Linked DNA regions of Neodiprion lecontei. The protein of the gene in region 2 purifies or fractionates together with the protein of the main gene of each other region. This does not show direct contact. Links are inferred from orthologs where the notes say so. Each region holds a gene or a part of one and is shown on either strand. Other genes may lie near its edges.

Region 1 (5,656 bases), on a different chromosome or scaffold from region 2:
TAGGATCAAAGTAATAATAGACTAGCTAATGGTTTTAGTGATTTTGAAAGAAAAGCATACAGCCACAAAAATTGTTCACACTCACGTGTGACATGAGAAAATACACCCAGCATTTGACGAGTGACAGTAGTTACATCCAGCCGGTGTGCCTTTGGAATTTCCTCTTCCTCTCGTTCCTTCAGAGCTAAAACAGCTTCCGAAAGTCTTAGAGAAACTTCTGCTTTGGCCCCTGGATTTCTGCGGATAAAACAACCCTCATGATCAAGGGGAGGGTGTGGAGCGATGGAATGATTGTCATTTCTACAATCGTAAACGATCTTCGGTTAATTTAACATTTTTAACAAACTTTGTGATTTTCAGCTTGCCAACTTCTATATCTCCGGAAGCCTTTTCCCACTTGTTCGCAATATATTTAGGAACCTTAACCAACCATACTCCTCGTCCTGCATTACTCAAATCTAATTCTCGGTCTGTGTGAGGAGGCGGTGCAGACATGATACCTGAAAATAAAATATTTCAGTTTCCATTCTCGCATTCATCCTGGCAATTATGGGTCGAACGCTAGTTTCTGTCACCTTTAACCTAATTACTTATTGCATATTGGATACAAACATTAACTATCTCAAACCTAACCAAACTGACTATTAAAGTGGCCAGATTTCAATATTGGCACTGCTTACCTTGTTGCAAATGGCCTCAATAATTATAGACTTTCAGTATTTAACGAGGCGAAATGAAGGGTAATACTCCGTTATACTTATCTTCTGTAAATAACTGTTTAAATAGAGGTAAAATAAATTGTACATACAACAGAAACACTTGCTTCTGATAGTCTGTTGTAAAAATTGAAAGGACTACCTTTTACGAAATTCTGGGGAAATTTAGTTATTATATTTGGCAGCAGTGAGAACGGCTTACCAGAAGAGTCAACGCCGGGCTTTTACACGTATTCAAATATCGCGGTATTATTGTAAACCCCTACCTAAACATATCATGCGCATTTATTAACAAAAATAACAGATTTGTTCTTCGGTATGTACAGTTCTTGTGATTGCACAACTTCTACGTTCTGGATTCGTGAAAAAGAAGAAAGAAAAAAAAAAAGGGGTTTGATCAGGTAACAGGAAAAAAAAGATTACGACAGAAACAAATATAATAGACGTAAAATTTATAACTTTCCATAATTTGATTGTAAAGAAAGCATCGCTAATTCCTTATTCCTTTCCTTAATACGAATCAAAAATATTCTATCTTTATTGCGAGTAATTTCATATTTTCCCGCTGAAATTCAGTAATGTACAGTATAGTTCACGTCTATGACTTGCATATATTCAACGAATATTTTAATTCATCATTACAGTTACATTTTCCACGTATTAGTTAACTACGACTTCTTGAAGAAATTAAGCAGCGATACTTGCTTCCGCTTGTTAGCAGTCTTTGCTGCAACATCAGCGGTAGAAGGTTTTGCAGCCTCTACCGGCATTTCCTCTTCCTTATCTGAACAACTTTCGTAAACGTATTCTTTTTGAGTGACAAAATACCCATCTTCATCGACAAACGTTTTATCGACCAATTTCCGAACTTTGCGCCTCCCGCCTTCACACTTGACCAGAGGTGGCGAAGGAGAACTTTTAACTCTTTCAACAACTTGCGGTGGTTCTTCAGAACTATCAGGTTCCTCAATATCATCCCTAGTCTCGCTGTCATCACTTGATTCGTCACTAGATATCACAACTATACGTTTTCGTTTCTTATTAGTATTCTCGCCCTTTGAAGAAGTCTTGCGTTTTTTTCCTCGTGAAGAAGATGCTACTTTTTTTTTATCGCCAGTTTTCCCAGAGCTGAGATTTTTCACCGCCGATTCTTGTTTGCTAACTTTTTCAGTCTGTGGTGATTTTTCTTCAAACTTTTCTACGTTGGCCTTTTTCGAATCGCTGCAACTCTCCACCTGTACTTTTGCTTCCTTGTCGCTGGTACTTGGAGGCTTTTTCTTTGCTTCAAACCATGCATTCTTTTTCGGTAAATTAGTTTTCGGAGATTTTTCTTTGTCTTCATTAAGTTTAGGCTTTTTTGAATCGCTAATATTCTCCGGATTTTCTTTTGCCTCCTTGTTGTCCGAACTAATAGGTTTCTTCTTCTCCTCGAACCAGTTATTCTTATGGGGTGAAGTAGTTGTCAAACTACTGCTTGACGCAACAGGTTTACTCTTCACACCTTTCACAGATGTCTTCTCCTTGCTTTGCTTATCTATGGCCTTAGCAAAAAAATTGTTGAAGGCAGTTTTCTGTGTTTTTGCACTCGAATTAGCCGCTGCTGTTTTATTTGTGGTCGATTTAGCACCGGACTCCTTGACATTCTTGGCCTGATCAGTAAGCTTCGACTCGGTATTCGCATTTGCCCGAACTTTCGGAGCTGTAATCTGAGTATTGTTTTTCATCTGTTTATTCGCTAACAAGGCGCTACCCCAACGAAGAACTTCCATCTCATGATCAGACCTGAGAACAGACTGAGAAGAGTGGACAGCGCTCAATTGAGAATCGCCTTTGTCAGTAATGGCGAGTAGCTCTATCTCAGGGAGAGTTTTTTGCAAGCTGTAAATATGCTCGGATATTATTTTTTCAAATTTCTCCTTCGCAGATGCCATATGATCCTCTTTGACGACCTCGACTCGCATCTCTCGCTCCTTGACGTATCCCATGAGCAGGAAAGTCGCACTGATTACATGATTTTTCTGCACTCGTTGAGTTTCCCAGTACTCGAATAACAGCTGCTTTGACAAATTCACGTGGATGCCTAACTCCTTGCTCAACCACTTGTAAGTAACCTGTTGACAAATATCTATAATCAAAAATGAGATGATGTTTCAGAAAGAAGGGTTGACGTCAAAAAGCAGTGACAAGAGCAGACAACTTGGAGTGAGATAAATCTCACTTTAACATTTATTGCACTTAAGAAGATATGATCTACGAAATAATGTTTCATATCGTTAGAATTGAAATACGAATGTCAAACTGTAAAATAAACATAAGAATATGTTCTAGACTCAGCTAGGTTAGATTGTAAGTTAACAAGAGCAAATGACAGTAATTTAAATGTATTGTAATATCGCTGAATAATTATCTATAATAATTACTAATTTGTCGTCGTCGTTAATGTAGCCCGCAAGAGCCTCCAAGTAAATATCAATTTGTTTCCGAATCATTTTGTAAAAATGTTGTACGTTTTGTATACTCCGTTATTGGCTTTACGTGAATCCCGCGACAATTTTACTTGCGATACAATTTGAACTAGGGAATTTTTATGACCGACGTTGTGCACACTGATTAAAAACCGCGAGCGGAAAGCGGGCAAAGCAAATTTGTAGCGCTATGTTAGGTTCCATGGTTGCCAAATTAGAGATAATTCGTATGCATCGGAGGGATGCATTCTGCATTGTTGCCACCAAGTGGAAAATGGCTGGGTTATAACAACATAGAGCTGTCATTGTCTCGAATATTGAACAGTTGAAACAAAAAAACTTTCTTATTTATTGAAAATGTCTCATGTCCAGTATGTAGATGAACTCGTTAAGGAATACTTGTTATTCAGAGGGTTTAGTCAGACGTTAAAAGCCTTCGATAACGATCTTAAAGCTGAAAAGGAGAAGGGATTTAGAGTAAGTGATGCATGACGTTTTGCCCCTCTACAATTATTTAACAATAACAGACGAAAACTATCGCATCAAATCATCGATATCTTCACACATACGTATCAGATTAGGATCTTATACAATTATCAATGAGAGATCAAAACCCAAAACGAGATGCAAAACATTCAAATTGCTGCATATATTTAGCGATGAATATATTGCTATGAAATATCACAAATATATACTTTTTCTTTCTCTTCCATTGCTCTTTATAGAAGCAAAATTATTATTTACAGGTTGACAAAATAGTTGATCAGCTGACACAGTACATATACAACTACGATCTAAATGCACTGAGAGAATTATGGGGCCATTTGGATTTGAGAATGTTTTCTCGTCTTGAGAATCATTTCACACCTGGTATAAGAAAGCTGGAAAATGCTGTATTGAAAATGTACCTGGTTAACGCGGCGGTTAACAACAAACAGGATCGTATCCAAGAGTTTTTTATTAAAATGGCACCGGAGCTCCAGGGTCATAGCGAATGGAAGGAATGGTTCGGTAAGAAAAGTGTTTAGCTTTAGTTTTCAGTATTACCAATAGATCATTGACTCGTTATTCACGAAACGAAATTTGTGCATCCACAGCGCTGCCATTTATTAAAAATCCCGAAGATAATCCTGTTTACTCGGTTCACTTCAGCAGGCAGTGGCAAGACACCATGCTCGTTTCGTTGCACAATTTTTTAGCTACAATATTCCAAGTGAGTATTATTCAAAGGATGTGATAAGAGAAGTCATACAAATCAAATCAAAACGTAGATTGTATCTATTTTTTTTTGTCTCAGTGTATGCCGCAGCCGACGTTGCTAGCTATAGATGAAGATTCGGTAAGACTTAAGCGTCTCCAGGAGGAAAATGACACTTTGAAACAGAGACTTGCTGATGCGGTCAAACCAGAGACAATATCGGATGTTAATGCAGGACCTGTACCTCAACATCCACCAATCATGGATGATTTTTATATCATAGCTCAGTAAGAACCAAGATCTCGACATCTGAATCCAACAGAAATAATCTCAAAAATCGGTACACAAGTGCGTAACGATTAAATGATTTTCCTCTATTTCAGAGAATCACCTTTAACAGAGAATCCGAAGACGCTGAAAAACTTGATAAGAAATATAGGTGGCAGCTCTAGTCCCGTACTTGGTAGAAAACCTATAGTGAGTGTTAAAAAACAGATGGAAACTGAACAGATCACCAAGAGACTAAACACAAAATGTAGAATAAATTCGCTAAGCAAGTCAGAAGCTGTTGCCAAGAGAAGTATCAGCTGTGATTCAAGATTGAACAGTTCTAGGAAGAGAGATTCTCCCATAGACGCGGCATTTGAGAGAAAAAATAAAGAGAAAATCGACGCCAGCTACATTCTTCTTAGTCAGGTGAGATTGATGCACAGAAAATAATCGAATGCGAGTGATTTTAAATATTCTTTACTGTCTAAAATGTTCCTTCGTTTTAACAGGAAGAATACACTGAACACAAAACGTCAATTATTCAATGTAAGAGCAACGCAAGTGGTTCTTACGTCGCGACTGGTGACGCAGATGGAGTAATTAAAATATGGACACCGATTCCGTCCCCAAAGTAATCAAGAAAATGCAATATCGTTACAATTATAGCATACATTGCTTATATTTTGCCAACCGACAATTCATTTTCCAGAACAGTCGCCACTTTCACATCAACAACGGTAAATTCCAACAATGCCATAACTGCTCTAGATTGGATATCAAAGAACGAAAGATACTTTTTGCACGGAGACAATAACGGAATAATTCAATTGCACGATACAAGGGATAGTAAAAGATTATGGGAAATCCATCACGAAGGTTCCCGAATTGTAACGTTGATATGTAATCCAGCCGAATCTACTTTTGTCTGTTCGGTGCAAGGTTCGGTGTCAGATTCCAGTGAAGGGAAACTACTGCTCTACGATATAAAAACAAGGAAACTAGAAAGA
Region 2 (5,979 bases):
ATTCCCATTTTGTAGATCACTGATAATACTGTGATGTACGTCTTCCTTCTGTTCTTGGAGAAAGTGATAACTTACCGCGTTCAACGTATACGACCGTAACTTGTAATCTCGAATGAGGACCTGAAATATATTTGGTCTATTTCATACGCGAAATTTCGAGTCAGACGAAAAATCATGAGAATCGCAAGCGTAAAAGTAAATTACCAGCAATAAATCGAACGGCACTCTTCCTTCGAAATTGACATGTTTATTTTCTCGCCTGCCCATTTGTTTACTTTGTAACACTTGATCTTTTATCACAGATTTTATATCCTTTATTCTTCCAAGGTAGCTGAAGGAATTCACTTTCAGGTGCTGTGCTCGATTTATCAGGTAGGGAAAGTCGAAGTTGTTGATGTTGTAGCCGGTAAATATATCGGGGTCGCACTGTCTTACAAAGTCTGCCCATTTCTTCGGCAAAGAAATCATTCCATAAATCCAGAATTACGTTGACAGTTTACTGATTTTCGAATATATCCGCAAAGAATTTCCAAGTCTATTTTACGAAACTTACCTCCAGCATGACTGCTTCCTTTTGAAAACTAAGTACCTGAGAACCGATAATTGGCGCGCAAGTATCCAATGTGAATACATTCCGCAAAAAGGGTTCGGTGTCTCCATGTCTTATCAACATGTTCGCAATCTGAATAACTGGGTCGTGATTTGCCTCAGGGAAAATTCCTGCCAAACAAATCCGTGCAGGTGTAAATTAATAATTTCAGTCAAAATGCAGCATCTGTTTTACGCTGTATACGAACCTTTGCGTCCAGCGCATTCAATATCAAAACTTAGTATTCTGAAGGGCGCAACTTTGGCCCATTCTCCTTCTGGTGGATGAGCAATGAAATTGTCCCAGGCAACGTCAACTTCCAATTGACAACGGCTAGTCAAAGGCAAGTCATTCCCTGGATGGCCTCTTAATTTCCATTTACCAGGGACTAGCTTGATCCATGAACAGCCTACCACGTGCGTATCCACCATAAATCTGTATCATGAGCATTGACGGATCAGTATGATTGGCTTTCTTTAATTTAAGTCACGTGCAGCGTCTTTAACTATAATCATAACAGCCATTGTATGCGAACCTGATATCAAACTCGATGTTAGTTTCAAAGGCTTGGTACACGTGATCGCTGAATGTTGGAAAGATCATTTCTTTCTCCAACAAGCGTTTACACGGAGCCACAAGCTTTGGCAGGGCGACCGTGATTTTTATAAAAGGCACCAAGTCCTCGCCTGCATATCCGTACAGCGATTGTTTGTAGATTAATTCTACTACCAGTACAGCTTCTGTAACTTTATCATTTTTCGATCTCATATCTGTTAATACAGCTCGGTTCAAAGCGTCCTGTAATGGTGGGGATGTCGTATTGATTAAAAGATGGTCAGTCAACGAGAACGAAGCATTTTACCTTGAATGGTTTGCAGTGAGAGTTATTGAATTTTTCTGGCGCAGTGACAAAAAAATAGGAACAAAACCCATGCACGTGACAGCATACAGAGTTTCCTTCCATGGTGACTCCGTACATTCTCATTATTGCTACTGGTCCAATTTTGCTTCCTGGCATTCCAGCCAGCGGCTGCCCTAGAGAAATATTTCTTGCTGAATTTTCAGTCGAGGAATCGTAAAACGATCGTAATGAGGGAAATGGGTAATAAGTTACTGAACACGCAAGTCTTCAGATAGGCATTCACCAGGTCTGGGGATGAAGTGGAATTGGCTATTTGCAATATACCTGTACGAATGTATTTTTTACTTCTTGGAAGTCACGAGCATGTAAAATAATGCGAGCTTCACGTTGTTTGAAACTGTGTAACGTTTGACACAATAGTTTTGGCTGGTGTATCGTTGAATAAAGTGTAAACGTGATATTTTTCAAGAGCAATTTACCTATATAATGGTCAACTTCTATTTGCTGGAAAGTGAGCGAGTCTGTTTGAGGATTGAATGGCCGAGGGTCTGGCCGATTCCATTTGGAACAGGTGTTTTCTTGATCTGGGCCCTAAACGAGAGTAGATTTTATGAATGTTTGCATACTTTCGAAAAATATGGAGGATGAGACATTTTTTTAAAAGAACATTTCAACTGCCCAGAAACATTTAGTGACAGGCCAAATGTGCAAAATAATACTTAGGCATGAAATTTTTGCGACTATTAACGTGTACGACGTTTTGATCAAATATAAATGAGAATAGTCCAAAATTACGTACAAATTTTGCAACTATTAACGTGTATGATGTTTTGATCATATATAAATGACAATAGTCCAAAAATACGTACAAATCGTCGCAACATGTTAGCAGTTCTAGTGTTGCAGCCTTGGTAACAAAATGCGTACTGCCACATATGATTAGTGAAATGCTTGTGCATATCATTTGTTACTTTATCTATGATTATCATTATGATTGCTGTTGTTGTTATTATTACTATTATTATTATTATCATTATGATTATCACTATGAAATAAGATACCAGTCAACCGCACGTGCAAAAAGGTGCAAGCAGGTGCGTTGAGGGATTGAGGAAGCATATTCAACGAAGAATAATGGGATAATAGTTTTAATACTCAAATCCGTGAATATTCTTTGTAAAAAAGAGTTTTGTGAAGTAAACAGTTAAATCGATGAAGAATGAATTTCCTGGCGAAAACAAAGCATGATTAGACAGCAACAAGACATGTATATAGCCAATACAGAGCTCAAGTCTTAGGAGAACTTACTCTCACTCGCATTTGAGGATCTGCAGGATCAGGCTAAAAGAGTAAATTATGGATATTTAGACAAAAGATAATAATTTTACAAGTTTGCCACCTTGTTTAGGTACTTTTGCTTTAACACGACTATTTATTTGACGTTAATTTAAATTTGGGGATCATTCTCCGAGTAACAATTATAATATTTATTTAACATTTTGCACGTTTTGTGAACGTTGAATATCTTTAGCACTGTTTGATACCATAATTCCAAATTGGTGACCTTACTTACTTTTAATTTAATATAAAGACTGTGCACAGTGCATCAGATTTAAATTGACTAGGAAATTCAAGATGGTAATAAGGACTTTTATCAATTTTGTTAAATCAATCACAGCAAGTATTGCCAGACATGTAACGGAATTTTTTGCATTCTGTTATGTAGTTCAGTTGTGTATACCTCCCCAGAGGCCTGAGACGGGTCTTGAAACTCGTCGTCCATTTGTTCCATGATGGCAAGTTCCGCTTCAAAAGATCCTGGGTATTCGTCATCATCATCATCTACCCTGTTAAAGAAAAATGAGTGAAATAACGTTACTTAAATGTATGGACTGAAATAGGATCTAAATTCAAGAAATGGGTAAGAGAATTTTACTTCTGCTTAAAAATGATTTTGTATTGGAAAAATTAACTACGGAGCTGCAAAATTTTTATACTATCTGTGTGATAAACGCTTGTCGGTAGATTCAGCCTTTTAAAATTAGAGTGATGTCAAGCAGGATAACCTAAAAGTTAATAGTGCGTCAATATCTGCTTGCCTGAATTTATTTTTCTTGGACGGAGGGCCGGAAAAAGGCCGCTTATTCATTGTAAATCTTGATGGAATTGGTCGTTGACAAAATAAATTCTCTTCCAGAAACTTTGGTATTCGATCGGTACGCACACGTTTCGAATGGCGCGAAAACTGACGATGGTTACGTTGAAATCGAATGCAATTCTACGACAGCTAGCGCCATCTTTGACAACCGTTTTCGTCTCCTGCAACCATCTAGTGACTGCAAATTCAATCTCGGTCAAATCACCGTCGCAGGATATGGAAGCGTGGTCGAAAAGCAAAAAAAGTAAGGAGAATTTGATAACAATCAGCGATACGGCTCAGGAAGCACATATTGCAGGTTGTGAATCTTTGTTCTTAAGATTTTACAATATCAGGGTCATGTAACAATCTTACTCTTACCGACCGAATCAACTTCGATAAACGCACAGTTTCGTTGACTGAATACAGACACATGCATGTTCAGTCAACGATATATAGATTGATCGAAAAAAAAAGTTTGCACAGGCCTTCAAAATTCGTGGGAGGCAGCTCGCGGTAGAACGAAACAATTACCGATTAATTTCATCCTTTTTGATTAGTCCTTCGCAACTAAATTCAGGGAGACAAGATAAAAAGTCGTTATCGATACATACTTTCAAAATAGAAAACAACTGAACATTCGAATTCAACTTCAGTTTGCGCCGTACTTCATGCATGAATATTTTTACATCGAGGTGAGGCGCTCGTCACGGAGAGATAAAAAAAATCAATACATACCTGAGCAGACTTTAGAGCGACCGCACGTTGAATTATAACACGAATAACGTAATCACTAGGTGATTAGCTGTTTATGTACCTATAATATCTTTTAATCTTTCGGGTGATTTCATAATAAGCGGTTGATTACGGAGGCCTACTCTCCCGGTCGCCGAAATGTTGTTCTCGTGTTCTCTTTATTGCCATTTCTTGTTTCAGGATAAAAATATGTCTTCTTCCAGGTCGTAGAGCGGCGATGTGCAATTATCGTCCACGTTCGTCTTTCATCGCCATTTTGATTCACTTTGGTAAAAAACGACGATGTCGGGATGCCAACGGGAAAGGCCACACACGCAACGAACAGGTAAAATAGTTCACAGAATTGCATTTTAAGTTCAAAATCGATCGATTCGGCGTCCCTACGCCGACGGTGCTTGGCGGTAGCCTGTTGCCGTAGAATTTAACCCTCGGTTTAACCCACGTTCTGCAGTGTAACGTGAATACTTATGTTCCGAATAATAAAAGTTTCGAGAATCGGTCGTTTCAGGCTGCAGTTTAGTTTAGTCGGAATGTACATTTGAAATTGCAATTTTTACATATCACAAGATTCTTTTTCTAATCGTTGGGTGGGCAGGGGCGGCAAGAGGGGGGGGGGGGGGAGGTTATTGACAATCTAAATCAAGAATTTCTACCAGATTTGATTTGGTTTTTTGTCTACGATCGATATTTTCCGACTTGAATTCAAGATGGCGGCCGAAGCCAATGCAGAATGTAGTCGAAATTCTGGATCTAGAGTACTACCCATGACCCGCCCCCCCGCCCCCCTCCACCGTCAAACATTAAAAAAATAAAATTGTGATATCTAAAAATTCAGGGTAACATTCCTCGCGATGACTTGCTCACTATTACTGCTTGTACCGCAGGTAAGTCTATTCATGGTTAGTCAGACGCTGCGGACCAGTGATTCACGTCAGTCATAAGTCAGACCCCGAATATTCCGGGACCTCGGTATCGCGTCCAACGTACCGGCTCGTTATCGCCGTATGTTGTACGGTGTGAGTCTTTTGGCATAAACGCAATGACCGTTATAAATTGCGATTGTCCTGTTCGTAGGCGGGAGGTACGAACCATGTCTGAACAGTGGCACACCGTGTTGTATGATCCTGGTGAAAATGATTGCTGCAATCTTCCCACGAATTTTTAGGGAAATTGAGATATTTTGTAAGATCTTGTATAAAAAATTTTTATCGTACAAAATTGTATACATGCATAATTTCTCATTAAAACTTGTAGATCGTCATGAAAATTTGTGTTGTTTCGATAAAAAATGTACAAAATACTGCAATTTCTAGCGAAGATTGACATATCTTTGCGAAAAACTATGCATATTTACAATTTGGTACGAAGTAACACGAGATGTTTCAACTTCTATGAAAATTCGTTGTCTGGTAGAAATTTTTACCAGGGGGGTCCGAATTTCTCAGCGAGATTTTTCCGCATTCCGCACAGCACAGTCGACGGATCGTACGGCATCAGTCGGCGATGCACTGTTTTATTGAACTGGCAGTACATTCGGTTCTCGTATTTGTTCAATCCTTGAAAACTAACTCCAGGGCATTATAATTAGCTGGCAATAAAATATAGATGAGTTACGACAGCTGTTCGTGGCTCTCG
Region 3 (8,151 bases), about 26 Mb from region 2:
CTATGCAATTAGTATACCTATATGTACACATATCCTTACAAGTACCCATGAAACACAAGTTACGATCAGTACAAGTATTTATTTGAATTCATGAGGAGTAAATTTGATTCTATGATGGGACGATATAGTGTCCTCATTCGAACTGCATACGCCCGGAAATTTTCAAACTAGTCATATTCTTATGACAAGAATTTATGCAGCATTACACTGTGCTCTAGCCATCATAGAGATTTTTTGAGCTTTTTGAATAATTTCTGGACATCGTCTACGACGCACTAATTTGCAATCTTGAAAAAAGCCTTCGTTTCTTGGAAAGCCGTGTGAACCATCGGCATAAGTTACCAGACCTAGTAAAAAACGAAAAGCAAGTTAGAACCATGCATTTGAATAATAAGCTAATAAATCGCTGTCAGCATTAGCAATAAAGCTTTTATTCTATCAGCAATCAACCCATCATTCACTGTTATGATCTATGAATACTGGAAAATAATCCAGTCTGAAGATTTCTATAAATAAGACGAGTACCTAGTCCCCATACTCTGCCACCTCGAAACTCTCCTTCAAACTTCATGCCATCGGCGCGCCAGAATACTCCGTGTCCATGAAACCAGCCCTGCATGAATTCTCCTTCATACCTACACATTGATAAACGATGATGATAATTTTGAGTACCTAATTGGTACGCTAATTTTTAACAACTCAAACTTTTAGCGATTTTTTACATCAAAGCAAAACTTACTTTGCTCCATCTGGAAATACAATAACACCGAGCCCAGAACACAAGCCATTTTGAAAGGCACCGTCATAGCGAGTTCCATCAACCAATGCCAATGATCCAGCTCCATGCTTCAAACCCCTGCCATTCCAATCACCAACGTACCTTGTACCATCATCATATTTGTAAGCACCGTTCTTGGCCACACCACCTGCTGGATACATTTTGCTATCATATTCAGATTAGGTTTCTAAATTTGTGAAAAATTTTGTTGATAGGGCAATGATGAATAGTTTAAATATAAATATTTTTTTTACAGTTCTACTTTGTAGACGGGGAATAATTTTTTTAAAAATATAACAGACGAAATATCGGGCACCTCTTACCGTCAACCATTGTATCGGCACACTAAACACATTAAATGTGGCTTCCACAAGTAATCCAATTACTCCAGATCAATGCCTGATTCAATTAGGTATAGTTGGAGCAGATTGTTATTTTATAGATTCTGTACCTACGAAGTTTTATTGAAAATTGTAAAGAAATATAATGAAAACACAAATCTATCGTTTAACCATGCCACCTGATTTCAACCGTAAAAAATAGTTACTTTATTAACTGACATAATAAACGCATACTTGAGAACAATCTCAAATTTTCAGAAATCACATAATTTATTTACATACCTACACTTAATAGGACATTTGTAAAATCGACATGTGCATATATTCCATATCTTTAGCAAGTACCTACTTCTCTTCAACACACTGTACAACCTTTATGTTAAAACATGAGACAGTATCAATATTTTTTTATTCTTAAAAACTTTTGGGCGTTTTAGCAATACTTCAAATGCAAAGTACTCCAGTTAAATATGCAACAGGAAATCACTTTGATTTGCGGTTGTTAGAATGAATAAAAATTGTGAAATACTTCAAAGAAGCAATAGGTCATTATTCTATGATTTCATGCAATAAATCATATTATTACGTGATAAGTCTTTCGCCTGTACCTTACGGACGATTGAAGGTAACATTGGATACTATAGTACAGATCAATATCTATAGAATTTCCCAAAAATAAAAGACAGTAACGGCAGAAACTGTCTGAAATCACACATTGGCATCAGCTACCACGATAAAGGTCTTCAGGGAAGACTCGCCTGAGGAAGCAATTTTCATTGCATTCTATCTAGACTGTTCAGGCAAAGTTCAATTTTCCTTTCTTAAATTCATTTGTGTAAATGAAACTATAATAATGAATTGAACAATCGGCTATTCCGTCTGAGTTAAGATTGTTTCGGTTCTCCTGGTGCCCCAACAAGATACCAGCGAGTTCTTGCTTTCACAGCGATTGACCTGACCAAACGTTTTCGATCGTCGATCGCCACAGCTAATCGCTCCAAGACATCCGTTTTAAAAGGTAGAATCAAGACAGTCGGGTAGTTTGCATAATGCAACAAACATTCCAATGCAGCAGTTCTGACTTTCTGAAAAATAAAACAATAGTCGAAGTTTGAAAACTAGCATGGATTTTAGGTAAAACTGGATACTTGTATTCAGGGTAAGGTACTCTGATGAAACCCATTGGAATAAGATCAAATTTTTTTCAAGTTAAAACTTAAGCACAATTATGAAAATTTTCTGCGAATCATTATTACCATTTCCCTACGTTTCGTCAGACTCAGTAATTTGGGAATAAAGTGTTGTGCTTGCTCATGGAAGATCTTGTGCCCTGTGTCCAGCAAAACTTTCAGGGTCACTAGTGTCGACAGAATTAACTCTGAGCTGTCCAGTGCCATGGATTCAATTAGGAGTGGGATAAGCTTCAAAAAAAAAAAGATTCAAACACATTGAAATAACAGTATGATGTATCGCAGTGTAAATTCATTAATTATCACGCGTGTGATAAATTGGTAAACTCTATAATCATTATTGTTATATTAAAATTAAATAAAATATATATTACCGGCTCTAAATGCATGAGCAATAGTTCCATTGGAACTTCCTCGATTAAATGTGTTAGAGCCATTAGGTAGTTTTCTCTTGATTGTGCATCAAAGTCGTTGTTTTTTTGAATGACATTCTGAAATATCCTCTGTTTGTAGAATAATTTAACATTGCAGAAGTTCTCTTCAGTCACAGTATCCTCAAACCTATCAGATAGAGTTTTAAAACCATTTGCAACATTGTGACCCATTTCCATGTCCTTCAGCAAATTTATGTGCTATAAGAAACATAAAATCTTGATTAGTACATAATTTTCATTCTCCGATGTAGAAAATATGCAATATATCATGTGACATAAAATGGTACAAAGTAAAGTTGAATTACGTCTTCTTATACTTACGAAATCAAGATACTCTTGAGAATTTTGGCTTCCTCTGACAACCAAAGCTTTCGTCAGCCACGTATTCAATAAGATGGCTGACTCTTTGAGCTCGGTATTCGAATCGTGTTCCAAAATGTTTTTGATACGGTCCCTCAGCATATTTAAAACTATTAGGAAATTTTTGTCTTCGGTTTGTTTATTTATCAATACTGATATCAATTTACTTGATACTTCTTTAGAACTCGAACTGACGCTGTTGATTGCAAGGTGTAATAGATTTTTTAACAAGTTTACCTTATTAGCAATATCAACATTTCTTTGCAATGGTGTTAAAAGTCCTTCCAATACAATCACATTGCTTTCGGAAAGTTTTTCACTAAGAATTGAAACATATTTATTTACAATTTGTTGTTGGTCCTTCACATCCAACTTTCTAACTATAGATCGACAAATCGATGCAATTAAATTTAATTTTTGAGTGGAGCAGCCACTTGTATCTGCTGATACCAATAACTCAACAATGTTACAATTTTTATACAAAAAATGTTGTATACTGAATGTATCGCTTCTCCCAGCTACAAGTTTTCGCAAACAACACAGTGCTGCGATACTCTTTTCCAATTTATTAGACATAGCTACCACTACTACATTAGGTAGGATTTGTGGACCTAATTCTGGTATTTTTGCTACAGCACATAAGGCTTGCAATCGGTGAGTAAATACCGTATTATCAGTGTTTGCTGGAAATAATTTTAATTCATTAGTCTTATCCAACTGAAGAAATTAATTATAAGAAAAGTGGTGTACGTTAATTTGCTAATGAATATCTCAAGCTTACAGTCATTGATAGCTAGTTGGTTTATAACGGTACCCAGAATTTCGTTTGGATAAATTTTAGCAAAAGTTGACAGACATATGTGGCATGTGTTCTTTAGTTGATTATTTCCATCATCTACTGCCATACAAATTTTTTCATACAGAAGTTTTCTGGCCACGTCACTCAACGACGATTTCAGTATTGCCAATCCAGAGAAAGTCTTCAATTTTAGCTCAATATTATCAGTATTTAAGGCATTCAAGTACAATGTTGGTATATCTGTCCAAGCAAGTTCGGGCACACCTGTAAAATTTGGTAACGTAACAGATTAAAAATTGTGCATTGTTTTACTAAGTTTGATGTGAGCTGAATGCATTGACATACTATTTATTACAAATCTCTGCTCTTCGCATATTGCCATCAAACTATTCAAACTTTCTGTTAAGGTAACTCTATCCGAGTAAGAAGTCTTTGTTGAATATTGACCAAGGCACAATGGTATAAAGGTTTTCAAAACTTGGGCACAAGCTAATTTATTTGCCTTAGCGACTGCTTCCAACAATTTTTCAGCCGGCCAATAAAGGCTCAATTGAACGTCACACAGTGATGATTTTGTATCTGTGATAACTTTTTCGATGAAACTGTCTCGTATTACATCATCTGTGGACAACACTTTAACTAATTCAGTTATAGTTTCTAATCCAGCATTTCTCATCTCAATATCCCCGCCTGGGAAGACTTCTTTTCGTATAATTGGCCATAATTCAGCAAGGTGTGGTTGCAATCTTGAGGCTCCATAGGTAGAAGCACCTTTGCGTAAAAGATACAATGAATCTAGTTTTGCTAGTCTTAAGCTCGAGTCTAATCTCTCGATTATGAGAGGTATGCAAAATTCGGCAAATTCTGGAGAGGCGTAAAGGCAAGGTGCTAGGGCGTACGCCAAATCATCACGAGTAACTGTTTGAGCCTCTGATGCAGACTGTAAAATTGATTGAAAAATTTACAAGATGAAAAAATGTCGAATAATTATAAAACAGGAATTAAAATTTCATACTAACCAAAAATTGAAAATTTCATGATTAGGGCTACTTACGGAATTGAAATCAACTGGGAAATAACAAGCAATAACTTCAAACATTTCCTCTGTCAAATGGCCCAATGGAAATTCTTGAATAAAATTTGGAAGCATGTCAAATAACAGCATCAAATTTCTTGGATCTCGTTCGCCGTCTATAGATGAAATTACTCCGTATATAAAATCAGGCCCCATGGAACGTAAGGCATCTTTTCTATTTTGTAGGAGTGTTTGGAATATCAAATATATCAACTTTCGAATAGGCTGCAGCTGTGACTGACAATGTACATGCTGAAACATGAGGTTCAACAATCTAGCAGGCGAATCTTGAGGTAAACGGCTCATCTGTACCTGTAACATTTTGAAAGTAGTGAAAATTAGTAATCACTGGTTCATATTGTGAATTATAGAGGAAAATTGATGACTGAGAATTGATATTTATTTTAAAACATAATATTGAATATAAGAGCTCACGATAGTCAGGACACCCTGTAAAACCGATGGAATAACTTCATGCTGATCCTTCATCCGATCACAGTAAAAATTTGTGATAAAATTTAGCTCATTTTCATTTAGAAAATCTTTCGACAAGTGCTTCAGGGTTGTTGACAACGCAAGCGTTCCCTGAGCTCTCGAAGTAACATTTTTGTCAGTGAGAAACGGAGCGAGTTCCTCAACGAAAATCACAAGCTTCAATTTTCCATATTCTATATCTGAAAATATGAAATGAGAGATGTATCGATCGCAGAGTAGATACTTCGCAGGTGAAAACATGAGGTTTGATCGACGGATAATTATTTACTGAACAAAATATATGGGACCAACGAAAAATTGAATATTCTTCATGTCAGCTGATCATTTTGAAAATTTTGATGGAATGCATTTTCCGAAATGAAGACAGAGCGATAGAGACAGAAGATAACCTCAGTCCCAACAAGTTTGTTTTGCCTGATATTTCAAGGTCAGCAGGCGCGTCATTAGTCAAGTAATTATGATAATGCATACCTGAGGCTATATCTTGACATTCCTTAATCAAGTCGTTATCGTTCTTTAAAGCTGCCGATAACTTCTCGGTGAGTGAGGAGCTCGCTGAAACCTCCATATTTCACCCTGAATTTTTCAATACCGTGAGTGATCAGTGTGTAGAGTTACCAACACAAAAGGCGATCGCCGAATAATTACGCACTATTCGACATCGCGGCATGGCCCTGTAAAATATCGTGCACAGTTGATGATTTTTAGAATGCGTACATGAATACGAAAACATCTACAAATTCTTAAATATGACGTCTAATTTATCAAAGTCCTTGACGATTCAAGTTTCTATTGATATCTTATGAATTCTAATAATAACATTACATGCGAAAAATCGCCGCAGGTTATTATCTCTGACTTCCAGCATATACATATGCGTATGAGGAAACCTTCGTGAAGATAAAATAGAAAGAGAGAGAAAAAAAGAAACGTCTGAAGTTGAAAAACAATTAATTACTTCGTGATTTCAATATAATAATACAGTCACCCCCTAACCACGATTTATTTTGTCATTCTTTAAATTATCGTGCTTTCTTTTTACATCCACATATATAATTTTCTTTTGATAACTGTTAAATCTTAACGGGTTAAATTTAATAAACAGAAAGCAGTAATTGTAGCCTATTAAATTTAACGACACGGCCAGTCGAAGGTCCGCGTTTCTACGGAGTAATTTACAATCGTGTTTTAAAAAAAAACTATTCTTTTCGCTTATTTTTATTATTATTTATTACTATCATCTTGTGCAACCCTCCCGTCACGTCGTCGTCTCTCTTCATAGACCATATACGTCATTCACTGGAAACAACCCAGGCAGGCGTCCTAGGAGTTCGAGCTGCAAGAGATTTTTTAACAAGGTTTTGTGTGATGGCAGCGCGCGTTGTGGCGGAATGATAAAATAGGTAAAGATGGACGAAAATGGCATGTAAGGTGTTGGTAAATTCCAGTGAAATGTTTGGTTATTTTCGCCGCCTAGGATGGGAGGCTGCATAGGCATAACAAGGGCTAGGAACGGCTCTGTTGACGACACGTCGGGCAACTCTACGAGGACAAATTCAGGTGAGAAACAATATTTTCAACAAACACCAACTAACCTTGGAAATCATGTACACCTAATATGGGTCACCGCATGAAAACTGTAATTTATTCAAAATGCAATTTAGGACTCGATCGCGGTCTCTTACGTTCACATTTTTTTTTTTTTTTAATTTTCAATTTTTTTCCCCAATCCAGAATACCGACTCGTAACATTATGTATATTGCGCGCGATGAAATCACGAAGGAATAAAAAAAAGAAGCAGAAAGAAAGTTTGAAAATAAAAAAAAATTTCGATACTCCTCATTTACGATGTAGCTTTCGTTTTTAGTCACTTCTACCTGTGATTTTAATTTCTATTCGCTGATGTAGGTACATGTTCGAACCTTGTCAAGCTATGACCTAAATAGTAAAACAAATGTCAGACCTCGATCCACGCTACCAAACATAGCCTCAATGGCTCAATAGATTTTCTTTCAATAAAAAGACTAAGTGTTGAACTATTTTTTATGCCAGATTGAAACCTATTCACAAAGCTGCAAGTTCTTTTATTTTTTATTGTTGTATTAGTTATTCCAATCAATAGATCGAGCTATTTGTTGATATCTGTTAAAAAATACAGGTATATAATCATTATTTTACGATGTTTTTCAGCCTATCTGTATTCACCTCAGATAAAATTGTAAAGCAAATGTCAAACCTCGTGCTTTGCGTAATTTAAAAAAAGTTTTGCGTGGTATTTGTAATCCTTCTTTCTGTCACAGATGAAGTTAAAAATATTAACTATGCCATTTATTTTTACAATTTCATGCAGGTAATTCAAGAAAAAACCATCCACTTTGTCACGAAGTGATCAGATGGAAGTCGGATGTTCCTTTGACCGAGGGTCAACTCAGAAGCAAGAGAGATGAATTTTGGGATACCGCGCCAGCTTTTGACGGCCGCAAAGAAATATGGGACGCCTTAAGGGCTGGCGCGACCGCGGCTGAGGCCCAAGACTATCAGTTAGCACAGGCCATTTTGGACGGAGCTAATGTCTCGGTGCCTAATGGATATTTAACTGAGTGTTACGATGAATTGGGAACTAGATATCAGGTTCCGATTTACTGCTTGTCATATCCAATAAATATTGTTAAAGAAGA

The links.
Region 1: the proteins of DNA polymerase delta catalytic subunit (region 2) and DNA polymerase delta subunit 3 purify together in Homo sapiens (co-immunoprecipitation; 8 studies listed by BioGRID and IntAct, with this or other methods). This does not show direct contact. The link is inferred for Neodiprion lecontei from reciprocal best matches to the Homo sapiens genes POLD1 and POLD3.
Region 3: the proteins of DNA polymerase delta catalytic subunit (region 2) and MMS19 nucleotide excision repair protein homolog purify together in Homo sapiens (affinity purification with western blotting; 3 studies listed by BioGRID and IntAct, with this or other methods). This does not show direct contact. The link is inferred for Neodiprion lecontei from reciprocal best matches to the Homo sapiens genes POLD1 and MMS19.

What each region holds. Positions count from the first base shown.
Region 1 is NC_060262.1:4,435,448-4,441,103, forward strand, and holds DNA polymerase delta subunit 3, read right to left. Parts: upstream 3,298-5,656; 5' UTR 3,206-3,297; coding exon 3,137-3,205; intron 2,842-3,136; exon of another isoform or gene 2,828-2,841; coding exon 1,385-2,827; 3' UTR 1,327-1,384; downstream 1-1,326. Other genes in the region: general transcription factor IIF subunit 2, read right to left, coding at 86-237, 347-495; WD repeat-containing protein 91, read left to right, coding at 3,539-3,658, 3,928-4,192, 4,279-4,394, 4,479-4,666, 4,763-5,075, 5,159-5,280, 5,359-5,656. UniProt on the Homo sapiens protein: Accessory component of both the DNA polymerase delta complex and the DNA polymerase zeta complex.
Region 2 is NC_060265.1:933,187-939,165, forward strand, and holds the start of DNA polymerase delta catalytic subunit, read right to left. Parts: upstream 3,818-5,979; 5' UTR 3,601-3,817; coding exon 3,551-3,600; intron 3,299-3,550; coding exon 3,193-3,298; intron 2,793-3,192; coding exon 2,760-2,792; intron 2,753-2,759; exon of another isoform or gene 2,486-2,752; coding exon of another isoform or gene 2,321-2,485; intron 2,043-2,320; coding exon 1,931-2,042; intron 1,625-1,930; coding exon 1,452-1,624; intron 1,388-1,451; coding exon 1,125-1,387; intron 1,025-1,124; coding exon 798-1,024; intron 721-797; coding exon 554-720; intron 451-553; coding exon 205-450; intron 121-204; coding exon 1-120. UniProt on the Homo sapiens protein: As the catalytic component of the trimeric (Pol-delta3 complex) and tetrameric DNA polymerase delta complexes (Pol-delta4 complex), plays a crucial role in high fidelity genome replication, including in lagging strand synthesis, and repair.
Region 3 is NC_060265.1:27,432,607-27,440,757, forward strand, and holds MMS19 nucleotide excision repair protein homolog, read right to left. Parts: upstream 6,083-8,151; 5' UTR 6,041-6,082; coding exon 5,944-6,040; intron 5,652-5,943; coding exon 5,413-5,651; intron 5,290-5,412; coding exon 4,957-5,289; intron 4,843-4,956; coding exon 4,248-4,842; intron 4,167-4,247; coding exon 3,885-4,166; intron 3,787-3,884; coding exon 3,065-3,786; intron 2,942-3,064; coding exon 2,684-2,941; intron 2,541-2,683; coding exon 2,376-2,540; intron 2,205-2,375; coding exon 2,004-2,204; 3' UTR 1,369-2,003; downstream 1-1,368. Other genes in the region: MORN repeat-containing protein 4 homolog, read right to left, coding at 193-347, 526-635, 740-929, 1,102-1,111; ubiquitin domain-containing protein 1, read left to right, coding at 6,951-7,032, 7,824-8,151. UniProt on the Homo sapiens protein: Key component of the cytosolic iron-sulfur protein assembly (CIA) complex, a multiprotein complex that mediates the incorporation of iron-sulfur cluster into apoproteins specifically involved in DNA metabolism and genomic integrity.